Linked DNA regions of Mus musculus. The protein of the gene in region 2 purifies or fractionates together with the protein of the main gene of each other region. This does not show direct contact. Links are inferred from orthologs where the notes say so. Each region holds a gene or a part of one and is shown on either strand. Other genes may lie near its edges.

What was found.
Region 1: the proteins of Lin37 (region 2) and Rbl2 purify together in Homo sapiens (affinity purification with western blotting; 5 studies listed by BioGRID and IntAct, with this or other methods). This does not show direct contact. The link is inferred for Mus musculus from reciprocal best matches to the Homo sapiens genes LIN37 and RBL2.
Region 3: the proteins of Lin37 (region 2) and Tfdp1 purify together in Homo sapiens (co-immunoprecipitation; 3 studies listed by BioGRID and IntAct, with this or other methods). This does not show direct contact. The link is inferred for Mus musculus from reciprocal best matches to the Homo sapiens genes LIN37 and TFDP1.

Annotation. Positions count from the first base shown.
Region 1 is NC_000074.6:91,101,057-91,104,556, reverse strand, and holds part of Rbl2 (retinoblastoma-like protein 2), read right to left. Parts: intron 3,210-3,500; coding exon 3,045-3,209; intron 2,360-3,044; coding exon 2,248-2,359; intron 1-2,247. UniProt on the Homo sapiens protein: Key regulator of entry into cell division. Directly involved in heterochromatin formation by maintaining overall chromatin structure and, in particular, that of constitutive heterochromatin by stabilizing histone methylation.
Region 2 is NC_000073.6:30,556,847-30,560,921, forward strand, and holds the start of Lin37 (protein lin-37 homolog), read right to left. Parts: upstream 2,801-4,075; 5' UTR 2,630-2,800; coding exon 2,596-2,629; intron 1,239-2,595; exon of another isoform or gene 1,113-1,238; coding exon 1,037-1,112; coding exon of another isoform or gene 1,004-1,036; intron 831-1,003; coding exon 780-830; intron 449-779; coding exon 419-448; intron 340-418; coding exon 254-339; intron 179-253; coding exon 12-178; intron 1-11.
Region 3 is NC_000074.6:13,366,251-13,369,750, reverse strand, and holds part of Tfdp1 (transcription factor Dp-1), read right to left. Parts: intron 293-3,500; coding exon 171-292; intron 1-170. UniProt on the Homo sapiens protein: Can stimulate E2F-dependent transcription.

The sequences.
Region 1 (3,500 bases), on a different chromosome or scaffold from region 2:
TCCAACACCTTACAGAGGGTCCAACACCTTACAGAGGGTCCAACACCTTACAGGGGGTTCAACACCTTCCAGGGGGTCCAACACCTTACAGAGAGTCCAACACCTTACAGAGGGTCCAACACCTTACAGAGGGTCCAATACTTACAGGGGGTCCAACACCTTACAGGGGGTCCAATACCTTACAGAGGGTCCAACACCTTACAGGGGGTCCAACACCTTACAGGGGGTCCAACACCTTACAGGGGGTCCAACACCTTACAGAGGGTCCAACACCTTACAGAGGGTCCAACACCTTACAGGGGGTTCAACACCTTCCAGGGGGTCCAACACCTTACAGAGAGTCCAACACCTTACAGAGGGTCCAACACCTTACAGAGGGTCCAATACTTACAGGGGGTCCAACACCTTACAGGGGGTCCAATACCTTACAGAGGGTCCAACACCTTACAGGGGGTCCAACACCTTACAGGGGGTCCAACACCTTACAGAGGGTCCAATACCTTACAGAGGGTCCAACACCTTACAGGGGGTCCAGCACCTTACAGAGGGTCTAACACCTTACAGAGGGTCCAATACCTTACAGGGGGTTCAACACCTTACAGGGGGTCCAATACCTTACAGAGGGTCCAACACCTTACAGGGGGTTCAGCACCTTACAGAGGGTCCAACACCTTACAGAGGGTCCAGCACCTTCTGACCTCTGCAGGCACCAGGCACACACAGGGTACACACATATACATGCAGGTTAAACAATCATACACATAAATCTAAAATCAATTTTTAAATGAGGAAGATTTCAAAAAGCATTTAACTGGTGAGTTAGTTTGGTTTTCTGTTATTGTTTTGAGATAGGGTCTCATGAAGCAAAATCAGACTGGCCTTAAAGTTAAGATCCTCCTACCTTAGCCTTCAAGTGTTGGGATTACAGAAGTCTGCCACCACGGCCTGTATCCATATTTACTGAGTAGACACTGACTTAGAGTAAACTGATTTTAAAACTGATCCATTTATAGCTAAGGCCTTTCAAGTACATTATGAAACGGACCTAGTGTTAGCAATGTTCTAATAGATTTGGAGATATGTGTCTGTGTGTGTGTGTGTGTATGTGTTTATATGTATTTTATGTATATATTGTATATATGTATGTGTGTGTATATATGTGTGTGTGTGTATGTGTGTATGCATGTATGTGTATATAAACTATTCTTTGAAAATAGTTTAAAAGATGTGTACTTTACATTTGGGAGGCCCTGGTGTCAATCTCCAACAACGGGGGGGGGGGGGACGAAAAGAATCTCAAGGAAGACAGACCCCACACATGAATATGAACTTCGCACCTAGGCAGTCATCTAAGGAGCTATAAAACATAAGCCGGGTTTTCTGTGTTCCTTGGGCCAGCAGCAAAGTCACATTACTAAGTAGCTCAGCACAGCTCCAGTGATGAACATGTTCCACTCTTGGAGCCATCCAGCCTCACTGGCTTATCTCTATCTACCTGGGTCTCAGAGCTCCACCCTTAACAACATCCAGCTGTGGCGCTCCACACCTGATTCCCAGCTATGCAAGAGATTAGTCAGGAGGACCAGGGATGGATTAGCCTGGGCAACACAGTGAGACTCCTTTCTCCAATAAACATAACAAAATAGAACCATAAAAAGGAAGACACACTTCAGAGAATGAGAGAATTCACTGAGAATCCTATGGCCAGCAATGGAAGTATAGTTAGCAGTTTGCTTTTCCCATTTCTGCCCTTTTGTATGTTTATAAATGGATAGTCACTTACAAATAAAGGTCAAGTTAATGAAAAGTGTTCTAAAAAGATAAGCTTGGCACTCCCGCAATCCTTGTTGGGGGTGGGGAGCAAGACAATGTAGAATTCAAGAGGAGCCTGGGCCATATAGCCAAACCTCTCAGAATAATTTTTAATGTTTTTACCATTCCTTAAAAGCATTTTTAAGTCAGGTGTGGTGGTATACACCTCGAATCCAGCACTGGGAAATGGACTCTCAGAAGTCCACTGGTAACATAGCAAATTCAAGGCCACAGCCTGGGCTACACAAGATCCTGTCCCAACCCTCCTGCATACAAAAAAACAAAAAAAAATTTTTTTAAGTGATCACTATGTCACTAAAGGACACAGAATACTCTTTGCTCTGCATAGCCTATTAATTTTACTTACAGTTTAGATGGAATTTAAGTATATAGATTCAAGACTCCAAAATATTCGTCTTTGTATTTTAAACTTACTTCTTCCAAGTCCTCCAGCATCAGCACGAACTTCACCCACCCTTCTCGGGGTTAAGGGAGAGCCAGCGATGTAAATTTCATCTGTTCTCTCTAGGTTTTGAGGTGGCATGACCTATAAAGAATCGTTTGCACAAAATCTTAACAATCAAAAAGCATTTCACTAGAAAGGCAGTAAGGCAGTGCACACCTGTAATCCCAGCACTTGGAAGGCAGAGGCAAGCGGGTCTCTGTGAGTTCAAGGGCAAGCCTGGTCTACAGAGCGAGTTTTAGGATAGTCAGGGTTACCCAGAGAAACCCTGTCTCGGAGAGGAAAGAAAAGGGAAGGGGAGGGGAGGGAAAAGGGGAGGGGAGGGAAAAGGGGAGGGGAGGGAAAAGGGGAGGGGTGGGAAAAGGGAAGGAAAGGGAAGTGAAGGGAAAAGAATAAAAAGAAAAAGAAAGAGACAGTAATAATCTTAAACCAAAAGGCAACAATTTTTGTCCAATTAATTATTTCTTAATAAAATTACTAAAGCAAAAATTCTCAGTCTTAAAAGATTCAAAACCAATATGAAGACTATGTCCGAGCCAGTGTACCTTATGATTCAGATGGTCAGAACAGCAGCCTCAATCTTTACCGTCATGGAGACCTTGAGGTAGTTACAGGCTTCTCTTTGATACAGGAATAAACCACTTACCACACTGCAAAGCCCTACACCCCAAAGGGCAGACCCCAGCTCCAACTACTCTCTGTAGAAGAGGGCTATAAACAATATTGATGCGCTTCCCTTACAGAAAGATGCTAAAATATTGTCACAAACCTCTTCACAAGTAGGGACTCTGTTTTCATTATCTCTAATTCTGTCCCACAGTGGGGACTTGGTTTTCCATGCCAAATGGTCTAAAATTTGTTCTTCAATCTGATTGAGGTGTTTGACCACTTCTCTGCAAAGACCGTCTTCTGCTCTAATAAATACTTCAATTACCTGCAATAAAGAAAACGCCACTTATTGAGTCGTGATATCTACGCTTGTGCATGCAAAAGTATAAAAGCAAAATGAAACATCTAAATATTTTTTAAATATTGACATAATTTATCAGAAGTTTAATAAAGCCATGTGTAGCACGCTGCTTATCCTTTTATAGTTTTGTAAGTAATCTACACATATGAATAACAAAATATTTTGTACAAAATATTCCTTATACATTGAGCCTGAAAACAGTACTCTTAAGTTTTTATATAAGAGGTGGATGTATAGTTCAGAAATACAGTATGT
Region 2 (4,075 bases):
ACTCATCCTACCTCTCCATCCTCGGGCAGAGGAGGCAGCGGTGAGCCGGGTGAGCGCTCGCGCTCTCGCACTGTGGGGCTGTTGCGCATCCAGGCGCGGCAGATGGGGTACAGTGGTGTGTTCTCACTGAACTGGGCCAAGTCCACACTCCGGTCAAATAGCTTGATCACATACGTATCTGGGGTGGTAAGGTAGGCGATAAGTGTGTAGTTCCTGGCTCCACACCCACCCTCTCAGTCCCCTGCCTACTCACTGGATCTCTGAGGACCCCCCTCAGCGAGCCCATCGTCCATCTCCCTCCTCTTCTTCCTCCGCTGGTGGGGGAAGCGGGCAGATGGCCTGTGTGGTTAAGGTGAGTGTCAGGCCCGGAGCTGGGGACTGGGAACCTTTTAGTGAGCTGGGGTCCCAGCCACCTTACCTTTTGCCTGTGGCAGCAATGGAACAATCCCTGCAGGGAGAGACATGGTGTCAGGAGGCTTTAATAAACAGCTGCTCAACGCTGCCCCCCAAGGTGGAAGTGACGTAGTTCAGGAACAGAGCATTTGCCTAGCATGGGCAAAAGCCCTGGGGTTCTATCGCTAGCTCTAAAAACAAACAAAAATTAACATCCTGGGGATTATTGGTACTCCTTGGGCCTTGTATCCCACCAATACCCTCCTCTAAGGTGTTAGCCACTTATACAACAGGTATCTTTGTCTATGCAAGATGGTTAGGACTCAGCAGAGAGAAAAGCTACCTAACCCAAACTCTCAGGTCTAAATCCCATCAAAGTCCCTTACTTGTTGTGCGTATCCAAGGGGGTTTTCCCAGCTTCTTCATCCAGGCGTTCCCTGGGAACAAAAAAAACACTACTGGCTTAGGGTACCAAGGACCCAGAGTGTGATGCTATTAATTAGTCTTCCCATGAAACATCCCATGGGGCACTTTTCACCCTAGGCAGCCCCTCCAGCCTCCCATCCACATCCCCCCTCCAACAATCAGAGTCAGTCCAAACAGCTCCCACCCTGTGGTTCCCCAGGCTGGACCAGGTTCCAACCTGTCCATGTGACTCTTCTCCAGCAGACACTGAAGAACGGCATCCAGCTGGTTCCGGGCTTTGGCCATCTCCATCTCTGAGGGTAGAAGGTAGGAATCAGCTCTGTGTGCGCCTCCCACATTCGCCGTGGGAGGCGATCCTACGTCCTGTCTGGTCCAGTTACTTGGAAAGCAGCTTTAGTGCCACTCAGTGGAGAGACCAACTAAAGACAGAACCAGGGTGACAGAGCCTTAGGCGGGGCCAAGGGCACAGCTGCTACCACTGCTCTTTCTCTCCAACACCTACTCAGGAATCTAGGATCTGGACACCTTCCATGGACAGCCCTTAGGGTATTCCCACTGAGGTCTCCTCGAAACCCACTCCACTCCCTGGATTCTCCCATGAGGCGTGACTAGCTGGCCCACAGGCTCCTGACTCGCTGTGGGCACTCCTTTCCCAGCCCCAGTCTCAGCTCACTTGGCTTGTGGGAGTCTGTCAATATATCCCCTCCCTACCTCGCCTTTTCCTCCCACCCAGCGCCTAGCCTCTGTCATCTTTTCTGATCCACCTCCTTTTATAATGCAGACAAAAGAACCTTCCTAAAAGAAAGCCAAGCCTACTGGGCATAATAGCATATGTCTGCTATCCCAGCACTCTGGAGGCTGAGGTAGGAGGATCAAGAGTTTCAAGGTCAGCCTCAGCAATGAAAGATCCTCTCTCAAACAATAAGCAAAAGAAAGAAAAAATACAAAGACAGACAGACAACACAACGTGGCTTTGATCTTCTCCAGCACAGAACCCTCAAGGAGTCTTCAATCCTGACTCCAGAAAATGGGGTCTGTACTCAGTCTGGCGTTTCCAAACCCACCCTTGTCCTACCTGCATAGTTGTAGTGAGGCTCCCTCCACTATATATATTTCTCTCCTCCCACCCCCAGTTCTTCACTATATAGCCTTGGGTTGGCATGTTGTTTGCTAAGTAGGTCAAACTGGCCTTGACTTCAGAGATCCGTTTGTCTCTGTTCTCCATGCCCTGGGAATAAAGGCAGCTGCCAACACGAACAGCCCTCTCTCCACTCACTGCATCTCTGAGGATGTCCACTCAAGCTTTGTTGTTGTTGTTTGTTTGTTTTTTTGCACTTTGGGGTGTACCTTTACCAACTCACTCCTTCTTCAAAAACCTCCCTAGACTACCCACTTCCCTCAAAGGAAAAGTCGAAAGTCCCTTCCCAGAACCCACAGATCTGTCCTCCTCCCCTCCCATCTCTCTGCCTCCGTTTCCTCACGGCTGCAGTCGCCCTAGCTGCTCTGCTGCCCGCTTCCTTCCTACACCCTGCCACTCCTCCCACCTTGTCTATTTATCACCCTACACCCTAGCGTTATTGGAATGCACAGCCAGTGAGGATTGATTCAGGGACACTCCACAATTGATGACTCATGCCCACTGTCAGAAATGGGGAAAGTGAGGTAGAAAAAGAAAAGGACCCTTTTTAGAGGATCCTGTCATATGGGCTGCAGAGAGATGTCGCGTACTCCGCTTTTTCACTATTAACATATCTCTCCTGGATCCCCAGTCCTCACCTGATTTCTCCACTTTCACCTTTACCGGGAACATGATTTGGGTGCAGGTCTAATGCGCTGGATCAGAAAAACTTGGAGGAGGTGTGGTTCAAAAGCTAGGCGGAAGGCGGGCAGGGAAAGGTCAAAGGTAAGTCTGGGCACCACTGGTCCTCGGGCCTGAGCACTGTCCAGCCGCGACTGCCTTGGCGGCCACTTCCCTTCTTCCCCTTCTGTAGGCGGGACCCTTTGGCAACTGCTTTTTCCCACTAGTTGATGAAAACGTCAATTTCATTTGCTGGCCAATTGACAGCCTGTACTATTGGCTCCCAGCCTTAGGCTCCACCTTCCCGAGGCCCTGTATCCGGAAACAAACCAACGACAAGCCAGGCACCTGGGGGGCGGAGGTGGGGGTTGTGATTCAAACTTCCGAGGCTCAAGACGGAGGTAATGCGCCTGCGCCGCAAGGAGCACTATGGGAAGCAAAGACTCAGACATCCCAAGGCTTTTCGGGATTTGTAGTGTTATATTTTAGTATTGCCACTAAACCTATTTCCAGCTCCTAAGTAACTATCATAGTCACTGACATCCTTCACAGGAAGATCATTCTGGAGACGGACTGGATCCTTTCTGACAGAGAGCTCGCTAGGTGTATTTCTCAGCTAACTCTCTTTCATTTAAATACTAAAAGCGCTGGGTACTCATCCACATAGTGAGGACGCTTTAACGAGCAAAACAGGCAAAAATCCTTGCTGAGAATGTGTCTTATCGTGTAGAGGATAGACGATAGTCAATAAACAAGCCAAAAATTCTAAGTGAAATGTAATGGGAACACACAAATATGTAAAAATACTCAATAGGGAACATCAAAGTGGGGACTGAGACTTTATCATTATTTATTTATTGCCTCACTCTGGCTCAGTCTAGCCTGAAGCTCATTATGTATGTGACCCAAGCTGTCTCTGAACTCCCGGAAGGCCTCCTGCCTCAGCCTCCCCAGTGTGTGATTAACACAACAACCTGTTGGGTATATGCTTTTCTTAACTTATTGGGGGGTGGGGCACACCTGTAGCAGTCAGATCACTTACAGGATTTGAGGATCAAACGCAGGTCATGACTGGCAGCAAGTGTCCCTACCATTGAGTTATCTCACTAGACTCTTTGCTGAAATTATGTTGACACAGGGTATCACTACAAACCCCAGCTGGCCTGGAAGTCACAGAAATCCACCATGCCTCTGCTTCCCAAGTGCTGTGGTTTCAGACATAAGCCACCAAAATCATGAAATATTTATTTATTTATTTTTGAGACAGGGTTTCTCTGTGTAGCCCTGGCTGTCCTGGAACTCACTTTGTAGACCAGGCTGGCCTCGAACTCAGAAATCTGCCTGCCTCTGCCTCCCAAGTGCTGGGATAAAAGACGTGCACCACCACTGACTGGCCATGAAATTTTAAATGAGAAGATCAAGATGCCAGAGAAAGGGCTTGCTCACTTGTTGAGCGCA
Region 3 (3,500 bases), on a different chromosome or scaffold from region 2:
AAGCGTTTGTGTCGTATTAGTGACCGGTGTTCTCTGTGGCCCAGTCAGAGGTGAGATGGGAGCCCTGCGCTCTCTCTGCTCAGGGACCCCCACTACAGACCATGTGACACATGGCCAGAGGACAAAGGGGACATTCTCAGCAGCTGCCAAACTGGGGTGGGGGTGCTCACCCAGCAGACCAAGGTGAGGAGTCAGACGTCTGGTTCTGTGACACAAAATGCGTGTTGGGAGTGTGTGGGCTTCCTACCACAATAGTGTTGGATGCTGCCGGTCTCTGAGGCGTGCCAATCACCTACAGTCAAAAGAGAATTCAGAACAATCAGACGTGTCTCCATCACAGTACCACCGCTTCCTTCTGCCTTGTCAGCCACAGTGAGAGAGCAACAGAGAAGCACGCTGCTCTGCTGTGGCACTACCCCACACAGCTCAGACACCCGTACATCTAAAAGAACATCAACGTCTCAAACAGGTAGGCAGGCTCAAGAAGACAGAGCAGGCCACAGTTAGGGGCTGGAAAGGACAAGGCAGGCCTCCCACAGCAAGAACACCGATAGTGACAAGGAGGCAACTTACTGATAGCTAGGATTAATCACAGGACAGTAACACATTGCTGGTTTATTTCCTCTTAATGAGCTAGGCAAGGATAAAACTGCCCCTATAAAGTATAAAAGTTACCAGAAGGGAAGGAAGAAAGAGAGAGAGAGAGAGAGAGAGAGAGAGAGAGAGGATGGAAGGAAGGAAGGACGGACAAAAGAAAGAAAGAAGACAGACAGACAGACTTCCAGAACTGTAACCCTAGGACAGACAACAGGTACCTCTTCCAGCTCCCAAGTGGGAGTGGTGCCTGACTGTCCTGCCGGGGACACCTTTTTCTACTGTCTATGAGGGACCTCAGGATCCAAACATCATCAGGACAAGAAAGGGACAGGCAACCCCATTGGGAGCACACAGCCAGCAGCTCACCTGACCAGAGGTGGTGGCTCTTGGGAATCAGGTAACCAGTTTTACCAGAGTTGATGTGGCGACCACTCTTATAGCAATGTTTTTGATGTCCTTTGGGAAGAGGTCTGCTGTTTTAGTTCCCTCAGTTAACACACAAACCTGTTATTCTGGAGACAGACAACTGTCCTATTCTGACAACCAATGTCTCAATGTCAAAAATCTTACTACACACATAACTCTAAGTCAAAAAGACCTCTGGTAAATCCCAAAGTACAGAGCACTTCAGTGATCAAATTCTTCTGGGGATATCCCCACAGGAACTGAATTGAGATACCTGGATCCAGTGAAGGTGTGGGTACACTTTGGGAGCACTAGGCCACACAAGACGGGAAGTGCATCTTGGCTTACTCTCTCAGGCGGGAACAGGGGATCCCTCCCCATCCCCAGACAGTAAGAGCTTTACGTCCCCCACCAGTACTGCCTGCCAGTCACGTTGACACATCCCACACCAGCATGAAGGCTGCGCAAAAGTTCTGGAGCTCACGGGAGACCTCAGTCTATTCCGCAGCACCAAAACAACCACCCCTGAGAAGATGCACAGCTGTGCTAGACTCAAGACTGGCCTGGGAGCACCTGCCAGCAGCCTGCGGCTGTGCGTGTGCAGGAGGGCACTGTGCCTGGCTTACCCACTGGCCGCACGGACGCTGCCAAATGACTGAATCTGAAGAAAGCTAACTTACTCCCAGATTCAACTCTTCCATACAGCACTTCTTGATATGCTGTGCCAAGGAGGGTCAGGTGGCCCCCTGACAGGCAGCCTCATTACTCACTGAGATCTACATCCATCAGGACACACAGAGACCCTGTGCACATCTGAGGGACAGTGCAGAGTGAGCTCCCCAACCCTCAGGTACACACATCTTCTCTGTGGATCTGACAATAGAAGGAAAACTATGCATATAGGAGCTATCTACCTTTGGCATCAAATGTCCCAGTCGCCGTCGCCATACATTTAGGCCCCACCTTCATGCACAGCATGATTGGCAAATGCTCAGCCCTGTGTACCCATGGCTGCCTATGCATGCTCCACCCTCCGTGTGCACACACAGATGGGAAAATGAAAAACAGACCAAGGAAATATCAGCAAGTGAGATGGGGAGAAGAGGAAAAGGCACATCCAGGAGGCCAGGTGCCCAGGCCTCAAGGAGACAGAGGAAAACCAGGTTGTAAAGTAGCAGCTCCATGCTGGCACGGCCAGATCCAAAGGCTGCAGACAAAGCCCTGGGGAGCACAGCCATGCTGGCCGGAAGTGGGTCCCATTCCATCTGCACCCTGACACTGGGAAAAGGGCCACATTCCCCTTGGTGTGCTCACATTCCACCATCACACATGTGAATACAGCATGCAGAAGCCCCCAGGGACACTGGCCTTTCAGATACCAAAGAGCTACTTCGGTTAGGGTTCTCTGGTTGCTACTCCTCAGGACAAGAGGAAGCCTGGTCACAAGCAGTCTTTCCTATGTCACTACTGCTGGGACTGAGACTGGTTCAAACCCAGTCTTCCAGACCCAAAGTTCCAGCAAGCCACATGACTGCTAACTGGCACATACTGAGGACTGACATCACTTAGAGCCCCCTTCTAGCTTTCAAGCCAATATGGGAGTCCTGTTGATGCGTCTTTGCCTTGCTATAGAACACACAGTCTCCCACACTCTAGACAAGCCTTCGGCCAACAAGCCACACCCAGTACCCAGACCACAAGGTCTTCCAAAACACTCTCCCCTCAAAACACCCTAAGGATTCATTTTGCACCTTAATTTCAGATAAAAGCTGTTCAGTATTATACACTGCGTGATTCTACTAGTTACATACAAAATAAAAAATTTAAACACAAAAGCAAACTACAAATTTAGAAAGGTTCAGGGAAGGTTAGGTAGGCTTTACCATGAAGCTACAGGCAGGGCCCAGAGTGCAAACCAGCAAGGCAGGCACCTCTGTGTTAACAGAGCCATCTCTGTGTCAAAGCTTCCAATACCTAGACACTCTTAATAGCCTCTGGTGAGCAAGTGCCAGGGACACAGCACCTGCCCCCATCACACTTCGCATGCACATAAGGTTTAACTATCACCTCCTATGTTAGAGCCAACCCAGCCATCTCCTCAAACAGTTTAGGGGTCACTTGGAACATGCCCGGCTGAGGATACAGCCTAGGAGTATGCCACATACCCTTAATCCTGGCACTCAGGAGGAGAAAGGAGGAAACGAATCTCCAGGAAGTCAAGACCAGCCTGTTCTACACAAAATGGTTTTCCAGCCAGCCAGTGGCACAGGACACCTCACCTCACAAATACCACCGCCATGAGGGACCTGACAGCCAGCTCCGTGGCTAAGAGCACTTGCTATGCTTGCCGAGGACCCAGGTTTACTTTTCAGTGCCCACGTGGCGACTCACAAGCACCTACAACTCCAGTTCCAGGAGAGATGATGCTGGCATACATGCAGTCCACATAGACAATGCAGCACAACACTCAAACATAGAAAGAAAACCCCCAATGCCCA